Arabidopsis thaliana: one gene and its partner. The protein of the gene in region 1 interacts with the protein of each later gene in a pairwise test. Each region holds a gene or a part of one and is shown in the gene's direction. Other genes may lie near its edges. The genes, in order: HDG1 and AT2G33510.

Region 1 (7,397 bases):
TTCAAGACTAGCGTCTCTGGTCTAGAGAAAGAACTTGAAGCCTTGATCACAGACAACCAGATTCAGGTCCGTAGTGTTTCCCGAAATAACTTTGTTTTATGTTACTGTCATTTTAAAAACCTTAATAGAGGCAAAATCTTTTTTCCATCCCGGACAGGCAAGGATTGATTCACACAACAAAATCCTCTATGCAAGACACGCGGATCAGAGGAATGCAACTTTCCAAAAGGTACTTCAGATGGGAAACGAATTCGATAGAGATGTCAGGGCGATGCTGTTAAGAGCCAACCTCCTGAAACATGAGTATCATGCCAGATCGGCAAGGAAACTTTGATGACATCTGCTTTGCTAAACTGAGAGGTAATGGCCTATTCCAAGATCATAAGATATCTGTTAAAATTTAATTTGGTTTAGTTACTGGTTAGCTTTCTATCTGACCTTCTCTGTTCTCTAGTTATCGCTTTGTTTTGTCAACTTTTAGTTTAAGATTCTTTGAATTATCTATGGACTTTGAATGAAATCCCGAGTGTGAATCTATAGACGCATGAATCACACTGAAAGTGAAATGGTCAAAGAGTACAGACATAAGTACACACACTTGGTTTCATGGGCCGATATGATTTATGATCTTTGTATGCATGTGGGTGGTGGGATCAAAAATCTCATCTCCCAACTAATATCCATTTCATTTTGTCAACTAAACGTCGTATATTATATGATAGTTTGTGGCTTTGTGCACAGTTGTCACTCTATAGTTGAAGACTTTTTTTTTTCTTATCTACAAGAAATAATAATCAAAACGGTTAGGTCTTTTTTTTATAAGTAGAATCTCGAAAATTGCAAAACCAAGATTTGATGTCGGCAAACGCATCATGTAGACTAAGTGTGAACTTTTGATTTTCTTGTGTCAAAGAACTTTTGATATTAATCACTCGATAGCTACGTTTCATCATTATTAGTTTCTTCTATAGAATTTTTATCACTGAATGGGATAGTTCACATTATCTGGTACTATTATTTTTACTATTGCAAGTAGTTCTTTTCTATGCATTTCTTTGAAGTTGTTCTCTTTGTAGTTTGAGGTATCTTATATATATATATTTCTATATGTTTGTGTTTGCCAGGAATATTCAAGGGTGTTTTTTCAAGATTCGAACCAAACGAGAAATTGGGCAAGATTACTTTTTTGTAAGAACCAAGTGTTTCAATGAGTCGATGACATTTAGAGTAAGTAAAGGTTTTATTCTAAGATGGACAGTCCATTATTAATCAACTATTGAATGATATTGCCTTTTAAATGAGTCTTAGGTAGCATCGCAATAACTCCATGTTTACTCAAAACTCACAAACCATGAAGTTAAGAATCCGCCAAATTTGGAAGATGGGCCAACTCTAAATTTACTCACCCCAATACTCCATTTATTTTGGGTTGCATTGATGAAAGTAATTTGTATAATTGATAGGTTGTGTATCAAAAACCGGATCTCATTATTTGTGATCTTTGCATTAGTTATTTTTGGAGACTAATAACCATCTTTCTAAACTGTGAGTAATACAAATATAAACAACTTCTTGTTCGCTATGGAAAATAAAACATAACTCTTTAGGTACGATTCACGATGCAAAAACAATAGTCATCGTGAATAAACATGTCCGAAATACATGAATTAACAAATGAAACGCTCAACAAATGAATTGACAAATGAAACGCTCAACAAACGAAGAATCTCACATCCCATGATGAAATTGGGATTTACAAATAAAAAGTAGCACAAGAAGAAGGGGGTAGAACAGTAATTTTAAAAGAAAGACAGCGTTGATTCACCACTTGAAGTGGACTTTTATAGCAAAAAGAGTTGAGTAACGTCAAAAGAGTCAAACCCAACTTTTCAAAGGTTGTGTAAGGCTTTCCATGACTCCACATCTTCTTCTTTTCCCTTTTTATCCTTTTCTCTTCTCTCTCTTTTATTTTTTCTTTTGAAGTAAATTAATTTCACGAAACAAATCAGAGAACCTTTTATATCTTCCTTTTTCGTCGTTACTATCGTCCTTTACCTTTTTCATTTACTGTTCTCTCTCTCTCTCTATCTCTATCTCTATCTTCTATTCATGGACATGCACCGAAGCGACAAAGCTTAGGGCTTTTCTCTCATCCATGGCGGATTTCTTCTATCTTCATTAAATATTTCCCTCTTTATTAAAATCTCATGAATTTCAACGGTTTTCTCGACGACGGTGCTGGAGCCTCAAAGCTACTCTCTGATGCTCCGTACAACAACCACTTCTCTTTCTCCGCCGTAGACACCATGCTCGGAAGCGCCGCCATTGCTCCTTCTCAGTCTCTTCCTTTCTCTTCTTCAGGCCTCTCTCTCGGACTCGTAAGCTCACTATCTCCTCTTTTAATCTTCGATTTCTTCTTCTTCTACTACTTATGATAATCTCTGTAAATTTGGCAGCAAACAAATGGAGAAATGAGTAGAAACGGAGAGATTATGGAGTCAAACGTAAGTCGTAAGAGTAGTAGAGGAGAAGATGTAGAAAGCAGATCTGAAAGTGATAACGCTGAAGCTGTCTCCGGTGACGATTTAGATACCTCCGATAGACCTTTAAAGAAGAAGAAACGTTACCATCGTCACACTCCTAAACAAATTCAAGACCTCGAATCGTAAACTCACTATACACAAAATCTCCATTTACACTTCTACGAATCGTTTTGATTTTTGATTTTGATGAATCCTCCATTTTTAGGGTTTTTAAAGAGTGTGCACATCCAGACGAGAAGCAACGTCTTGATCTTAGCCGTCGACTTAACTTAGATCCTCGTCAAGTCAAGTTCTGGTTCCAGAATCGTCGTACTCAGATGAAGGTTTTTAGCTTCGAATCGCTAATCTTTGTTTTCTGGTTTCTTTGTTTTGATTTTTGATTTGTTTTTACAGACTCAAATCGAACGACATGAGAATGCTTTGTTGAGGCAAGAGAACGATAAGCTTCGAGCTGAGAATATGTCTGTACGCGAAGCTATGAGAAACCCTATGTGTGGTAATTGCGGCGGACCTGCCGTTATCGGTGAGATCTCAATGGAAGAGCAACATCTGAGAATTGAAAACTCTCGTCTCAAAGATGAGTTAGACCGAGTCTGTGCCTTAACCGGTAAGTTTCTTGGCCGGTCTAATGGTTCACATCATATACCGGACTCAGCACTTGTTCTCGGCGTTGGTGTTGGTTCTGGTGGATGTAATGTTGGTGGTGGTTTCACTCTCTCTTCTCCGCTGTTGCCTCAAGCTTCTCCTAGATTTGAGATTTCTAATGGAACCGGTTCTGGTTTGGTGGCTACGGTTAACCGTCAACAACCGGTTAGTGTTAGTGATTTTGATCAGAGATCGAGGTATTTGGATTTAGCTCTTGCGGCTATGGATGAGCTTGTGAAGATGGCTCAGACACGTGAGCCGCTCTGGGTTCGAAGCTCGGATTCTGGTTTTGAAGTGCTGAACCAGGAAGAGTACGACACAAGTTTCTCTCGGTGTGTTGGACCAAAACAAGATGGGTTTGTCTCAGAAGCTTCTAAAGAAGCTGGAACTGTTATCATCAATAGCTTAGCGCTCGTTGAAACCTTAATGGACTCGGTGAGTAGTTACTAAAACACTTAATTTTAGTAATGAGCTTAATCCAGCAAAAGTTCTAGAAAGTACTAATCTTTTGATACAATGTTTTTTATAGGAACGGTGGGCGGAAATGTTTCCTAGTATGGTCTCAAGAACTTCAACCACAGAGATTATCTCTAGTGGCATGGGAGGGCGAAATGGTGCACTTCACCTGGTATGTAATTATGCGTTTAACATTTAATTAACACATATAAAATCTTAATTCAACAAATGGGTCTTTTAATGTTTTGTTTTTGGTTAATTAGATGCACGCAGAGCTTCAACTGCTGTCTCCACTCGTGCCGGTTAGACAAGTGTCGTTCTTGCGGTTCTGTAAACAGCACGCGGAAGGTGTTTGGGCAGTCGTGGATGTCTCAATTGATTCCATTAGAGAAGGTTCTTCTTCGAGCTGTAGAAGATTACCATCCGGTTGCCTCGTACAAGACATGGCCAATGGCTACTCAAAGGTAAAATTATTCTTTCTGGGTGATGATTATTTGTAATAGTAGTATACTGTATAGTTTTAACTTTTCACCTTTAGGAGTTACCCTAGTGTTGGTTGGTTCACATTTCTCTAGGAACCACAGGCAAGCTCTTTGTTTTTGTCCGAGAAATTATGATAAAGGTTTCTTATGCATTGGGTTTATAACTTTAAATTAACTTATGCATTGGAGTAGGATTATTTTATTGATCAGAAGCATCTAAATATCTCCGAGTTCTGTGCCCTTGGATCGTGCATTAATTTTTATCATTACACGTTCATAGAAGTTTTTCTCTTTGATTATCATTAATTATGTGTTAAAGCTGACATTAGACCTAAAAAAACGATTGTGATAAACCTAACGCAAAATAGTTTAAGAAATTTGCAGGTAACATGGATCGAGCACACGGAGTATGACGAAAACCACATCCACCGTTTATACCGCCCATTACTCAGGTGCGGTCTAGCGTTTGGTGCGCATCGATGGATGGCTGCATTACAACGTCAATGCGAATGCCTCACGATTCTCATGTCCTCCACTGTTTCCACTTCCACTAATCCATCCCGTAAGCTCCCTCAAACGCTGCGTTTCTGATTTATTTTGTAGAAATATATATTTGTTTGTTGTTGTTGACGTGATTCATATCTTATCCTACCAGAATAAATAAGATTTAATAAATAGTATGAACTGTTGACTGAGTCACAAAGAAAAAGATGATAGCTGTTGATTCTGTAATTATCAAACTATATAGTTTAATTAATCTTTTTTTGGTTATATTAATGGGCACAGCTATAAACTGCAATGGGAGAAAAAGCATGCTAAAGCTAGCGAAGAGGATGACTGATAATTTCTGTGGAGGGGTTTGTGCTTCGTCGTTACAGAAATGGAGCAAACTCAACGTTGGCAACGTCGACGAAGACGTTAGGATAATGACTAGGAAGAGTGTAAACAATCCTGGCGAGCCGCCTGGGATAATTCTAAATGCGGCGACGTCAGTTTGGATGCCGGTATCTCCGAGGCGGTTGTTTGACTTCCTTGGAAACGAACGGCTTAGATCGGAATGGGATATCTTATCCAACGGTGGACCAATGAAAGAGATGGCCCATATAGCTAAAGGCCATGACCGTTCCAACTCCGTCTCCCTCCTCCGTGCCAGCGTAAGCATTCATATTTATTACACTTTCTATTTGCATGCGTAAGTAGCTAAGCTAATCTCCAAATTTTAGTTTAGGTTTTGGTGAATTTAGTATTTTATAAACATTAGATGGTTTTGGAAAACTTGAAATTTTAGTCGGTTTAGTTTTTTGTTTACGGTTTTCAACTTTTTCTGATTTTTTTGGGTTGGTTTTAGATAAATTAAAGTTAAACCGACTTGTGTGGACATTGAATATTTGATCTATAAACAGTGTATGAAAGGACTTTGTTGTGTTGTGTGACCCCAGGATGGTGTTGTCATATGAATCTTGTCGCGTGTGATTGGAAAGTGACAAATCTAGAATTTGGAAGTATTGTGTGATAAAAGTCAATAGTAATAAGACATTTTTGACCTTTTTCTTTCCTTTTTGGCTCCGACGTTTTGAAAAATCCTCTGTTTTTTTCTCTCTTTATTTCTGCATTATTGGTGTCTTTTCTCCGTTGTACCCCTTGAGCTTTTTCTGGCTTGTGACGGTGACACTGTAAAAGTCTCCTCGTTCATCATCTTTTAATTTATTGTTTCCCCTTTTGGGATTTATAATTTTCTCTTCTACCACCAAAGTTTCCATTTATTTAATTTTGTTTTGATTTTTTCATGCAGGCGATAAATGCGAATCAGAGTAGTATGCTGATATTACAAGAGACAAGCATAGACGCTGCAGGAGCGGTTGTCGTGTACGCGCCTGTTGATATCCCAGCAATGCAAGCTGTGATGAACGGTGGAGATTCTGCTTACGTGGCACTCCTTCCTTCAGGATTCGCCATTCTCCCTAACGGTCAGGCTGGTACGCAACGCTGCGCCGCAGAGGAACGTAACAGTATTGGTAACGGTGGGTGCATGGAGGAAGGAGGGTCGTTACTAACGGTGGCGTTTCAGATACTGGTGAATAGTTTGCCTACGGCTAAGCTAACGGTGGAATCTGTGGAGACGGTTAATAATTTGATATCGTGCACCGTTCAGAAGATTAAAGCTGCTCTTCATTGTGATAGCACCTGATCATCGAGATCAGACGATGGAGGAGATTGAGTCAAGAACGAACCTCATTTTGTGATGAATCCGTTTTTGTGATGGTTCGGGTATTGACTCGATGAAATTTAAAAAAAAAAAAAAAACAAAGAATGTTGTAATTTGGATCGGTTTTATTTTGGATCATGTCGATGAAATGTAATTGTTTCTTGTTTCTCTTCTTGTAATGACTCGATAATATCGGGACAGCATTATATGAAACACACAAGTTTTTTTTAGGGGAGCTCAAATAATTAGTTATAAGCAAAAACGTATTATCATTTTTTTGGTTATAAATCAAGGCAACCAGAAGCACAATCCGTGTTTACTTTTGTGGTAGTTTATAATGTGAAAGGATTGGTTTGGACCGTGTCCTTTATTTAATGTTGTTCCAAGTTTACAGTACTTTTCTCAATAAGATGGAAAAGGAACGAACGAAGAAGAGTGAAACACGTGAGTGCATGAATTTAGTTGCAATCCCTTATAGTTATTATATCCATGCAATGTAGACAACTACAACGAAAGGCTAATTGATTAGGTTGGTTTAGAGATTGTTTGATAATGCTAGCCTAGATCCAAAGGTCACATCAGAAGAGACCACAGGCTACTAATGGGCTTTTATCTAAAGCCTGTCATTAACTACTCTATTATGGCTACCAAGTAAGTCTTCTCAAAGTGTATTGGGCCAATCATTAACTAATTTATTGGGCTAGATTTTAAGTCCATTGGAGTATATACTATTATTACAAACGACAATAATATTATTATTACAAACGGGCCGAAAGAAAAGAGTCAAAAGGAAGAGTCAAACTTCCGAATAATCCGCGCGCTTAACGTTCGATCGCCACCGTTGAATGAACAAACGGTCACGATCGTATCTAATACAGATTATTTAATTCCATTTTTTTCTTGTGGGGTGATGATCTCTGAACAGAAATTAAGGGTATGAGAATGATTGATTGGTCTTGGAATTGTGTAATAGACCAATGGCGAGAAATGCCATCTGTTCTTTTTTAGTTTAAGCTATATCCGCTCCGCCGCAGAGATATATATAGATATTTCTATAAATATGTT
Region 2 (4,035 bases), on another chromosome or scaffold:
TCGTAAACTTTTTAGGATGAAAGTAGGAACATGGTGATCATGGTCTTGACTTTTGTAGTTTTTATTTTTGACGTGATGTTCTTGGCTTTATTATTCAAAAGATGAGTGAAGTGAGGCATCAATATATGATAGTTTTCACAAATTTAATAATTGCAGCTAAAGATCGAGAGCCTTTGCCCACATAAAAAATACTTTACTCTAATGTGTTAAAACAAATGTTGACATTTTGCATTTACTTTCTTTATAATTTGGTTGACTTTCTCTAAAATAAAAATCTTTAGTTCTTCAATTATTTTGCTCCACCCATCATATTGCATTATTAGGCTTTAGCTATTTTAAATTGTCATCTCACGGCCAGATTCATTTCATTTTCGAGGTTAGTACTTGCTGTCGTATAGTCATTCCATCCTGAAAATATCATCCTGTTTGCTATTGACTTTCGATGTATGCACCAAACCTCAAGCTAGCCATCGAGTTTTAGATTTGAACTCACATATAACATATTCTTATAAATATTTATTGGATTAAGGTTATAGTTTGTTGTATTCACTCTATTCAAATATGAATGGATTAGATGAATATGTAAAAGGTGACCGTCTTAGCAAGAAGATTGATGTGTTATGCATTAGACTATGTGAAAAATCGTATATTGAATGTAATCGTGACTATACGTGCATGAGATGAAAGTGATAATGTGTGATCGATTTATAAAAATATAAGTATGAGGCTATGTGATCTGGTTTTGATTGAGTGATTTGTGGATCTCAATTAATGTTTGTAGACGAGAATGATCTTCTAGATTGAATGAGTTGAAAGCCGTGGTAAGTCCTAGTTATCATTGGATGAAGGAGGAGATTTATAGATTTTTGGATGTTTCGAGTAGATATTAAACAGTAGAACATAGTTGGATTTAAATTTTAGTAAAGGCTTAATGGCTTTAGGATATTATAAAGTTGATCATGAACAATATTTAGGTTGGACGGTTCAAGTTTCTCATGAATCAAATATTCAAGTGCTAATTGCCGAAAGGAAATACTGAACCGAATTCGAACTGAACAACCACAAAAAACAGCTAATGTAAATTTGTTTGAGAATATTTTTGATAAGAACTTGAATCCAATTCGAAACCGAAATTGTACCAAACTTTTTATATTTTATATCACATCAAAGATTTTACTTTGAAAACCATTATTGATAACAAAAAATCCAAAAACTCAAACTAAAATTCAGATTAAACACCGGTTTACCATCTAGGGAATGGGATTAATATAACATAAAAAATACTAAGTTGTTTCATTTAATAATCAAGTAAGATTTTGCAATGCTAAAGAAAAACGAAATAACAGAATAAAGGAAGTTCCGGCATTCTTTTCGATATCTACGTTGATAGTAATATTTAATTTAACAGAGTTTTTCCTTCTTTCTAAAAACAAAAATCTCAGGTTTACCAACTTTAACCCTTCCCAAGATTTTTCAACTTTTATTCTCCTCTTATTTTAAACCGGCCACTAACCGATAACACCACGCGCCTAAACCCTCGCGTGTGAACCTAATGGTCATACGTTTTCAAGAACACGGTAACACGGACGTGAGACAAAAGTGCGAGAGAGCCTCTGTGGTCACTTTGGTCTCTCTGACAGCTACGGGTCCACTTTCTCTTTTACCCAAATATCCCCACGCGCTTCTTTTACTTGCGCGTGAACTTTCAAAACCAACCAATGCTAAATTTCCGAAACTACCCTTCACTCTGTTTTTTTGTTTTCTTCGTTCTCTTAAGATTAGTTTTCTCATCACAAATAATAATAAACTCTTTTCTTTTGTTTCATCTCTTTCTTCTTCTCTGCGTCTTTGAGGCAAGAAAAAAAGAGAAGATGAAAGCACCCAACATGGAGACGATAACGGAGTCTCTAGAGAAATCGATGATGAATTGTTCTCTGAATGATCGGAGAAGAAGGGTCGTCGGAGATGGGTTTGGGAGATCGTCGAGCAACGAACACATGACTCCGATCTCAGATAGAACATTGGAGCTCAATTCTCACTTATCTCTTCCTTGTCACTGGGAACAGTGTCTTGATCTTAAGGTAAACTTTAAACAAATGAGATTCATCTTTCTATTTTTTTTCTTCTTTTTTTTCTGCTTTCTAGGTTAAACTAATCACTACAGAAACTTCGAACTCGTGTCGTTTTCGTGTTTTGGATTGCATTAAATGTACATTGGGGGATAAATTTTTCATGTTAATATAATGTTTTTTCTTGTATCTTTGTGATGCATTTATTGCTTCAGACCGTATAAATGTTTACTCATAGGGCTTTTTGGTTTCAGGCTTTGTGTTTAGGGAAAGATGTTTGCCTTATATGGAAAACTTTTGCAGAGATTTTAAATGGCTAAAAAAAGTTTGAAAGCTTGACCATGAAACTAAATTCTGGGATTTTTGCTTTTGGATAAAAACAAAATAATTTTTGTAAAGCTATTTGATGCTTTTTATCAGCCAATCTTTCATCTCCTAGATATGATTATTCTCATAAGGAAGTAAAACAAACAAACAAATGTTTTTGTTTTTCATGTTCAATGATTTGTCTAAAGAAATCAATGCCGCACTACCACAAAACATACATACAAAAAGTACATAGTCATTTGCTCATATATAGATCTAGGACCAAAGCTTTTTGTCTTAACCAAAATTTGGGAGGTGCATTGCAATTTGCCAAGAAAGAAAAAAGATAAAACTTTATAGTAATAAGAGCACTTTATGATTGAATTCATGAGGTGAGCTTTTTGTTTTGTTTTAGACAGGAGAGATTTACTACATAAACTGGAAAAACGGAATGAGAGTGAAAGAGGATCCAAGGAAAGTGATGAATGCAGATCCTGACAGTGGAGACTCATATGGAACCGTGTGTTCAGAAGAAGATAGCTCATATTACGACAGCGAAGAGTCTTCATCAGAGTCATCTCCATCATCAAGAGAGAATCATAAAGAAGAAGAAGAAGAAGAAGAAGAGGAGGAAGAAGAAGAAGAAGATGTGCTAGTGGTTGCTGGTTGCAAAGCTTGTTTCATGTACTTCATGGTTCCTAAGCTTGTTGAGGACTGTCCTAAATGTGCAGCACAGCTTCTTCACTTTGATCGACCTCATTCTGCATCTTCTTGAAACCCTTGTCTTTGTTTGGATTTTCCCTTTATTCAGATGAGAATTTGTTTAGGTTTCCACTTTAATCTTATATTGTTGTTATAATTTAGTGGTTTCTCATGTGAGTGGCATTAACACGAGTTTCAAAGGCAATGTATCAGACAGTAAAATGTTAAAATGAGTCTGAAAATTTCCGAGAATGGTATCCATTAAATGAGTTGTGTTTGCTTTACAAGTTGAAAAAGAATGTAATGTGAATGGGATGTGACTATGTGAGGAAGAGTTGTTGCATTAAAGTTGGTCAATGAAATGAGCCCTGAGGAATCGCGCGCCTCTTAAATAATAAAGACGAGTACTAATCATAATGATTGCTACATGTGACTCCACATTTCATGGTTTTCCTTTTTGTTGCATCCGAATCCTTTTTTAAAAATTGTAAGTAGATTTTCTTGGACACCTTTTTTCTTTTATTTTTTTATCTCGGGTAAAAAAATGGAGATAAAAATGAAAAGAGATGATCAAATATTCCAAGCTTAATAAAGGAGCAGAGATGATAGTTAACTTTTTTTTATTCCAAGAGATGATCAAATATTCCAAGTGGAAAACAACAAATGCCTTCCCATGCGTAGCCTTAATAGAGAACTTTATGTTGCATACTTATAAAATGACTGTTAAGGAAGTGAACTATTTACAGAGATTTTGGTCTTCCATCACTAGTATTTAGTATGGGCACTAACAATTTAATGCGTGTCATGTATGAATTGTTAACAATATAAAAATCTATAATCTAATTGTATGAAATTACTACGTCGGCCATAATACTAGTTTCACAAAAACCAAGTACAGCTCAAACTATTAAAGCCAAAATCCGGATTTACTTGGAGTTTGATTTTGATTCTGTCAATT

What was found.
Region 2: the proteins of HDG1 (region 1) and AT2G33510 interact in a two-hybrid assay, tested with the Arabidopsis thaliana proteins (one study listed by BioGRID).

What each region holds. Positions count from the first base shown.
Region 1 is NC_003074.8:22,628,562-22,635,958, forward strand, and holds HDG1 (homeodomain GLABROUS 1), read left to right. Parts: upstream 1-1,769; 5' UTR 1,770-2,207; coding exon 2,208-2,378; intron 2,379-2,456; coding exon 2,457-2,665; intron 2,666-2,748; coding exon 2,749-2,866; intron 2,867-2,936; coding exon 2,937-3,623; intron 3,624-3,717; coding exon 3,718-3,816; intron 3,817-3,907; coding exon 3,908-4,108; intron 4,109-4,510; coding exon 4,511-4,688; intron 4,689-4,912; coding exon 4,913-5,280; intron 5,281-5,918; coding exon 5,919-6,314; 3' UTR 6,315-6,594; downstream 6,595-7,397. Other genes in the region: FUS6 (COP9 signalosome complex subunit 1), read left to right, coding at 1-66, 158-334. UniProt on the Arabidopsis thaliana protein: Probable transcription factor. Promotes cuticle development probably by modulating the expression of the downstream genes BDG and FDH, possibly repressed in a CFL1-dependent manner.
Region 2 is NC_003071.7:14,192,324-14,196,358, forward strand, and holds AT2G33510 (ATP-dependent RNA helicase), read left to right. Parts: upstream 1-1,826; 5' UTR 1,827-1,871; coding exon 1,872-2,081; intron 2,082-2,145; coding exon 2,146-2,190; intron 2,191-2,790; coding exon 2,791-3,150; 3' UTR 3,151-3,324; downstream 3,325-4,035. UniProt on the Arabidopsis thaliana protein: Negatively regulates the cuticle development by interacting with the HD-ZIP IV transcription factor HDG1.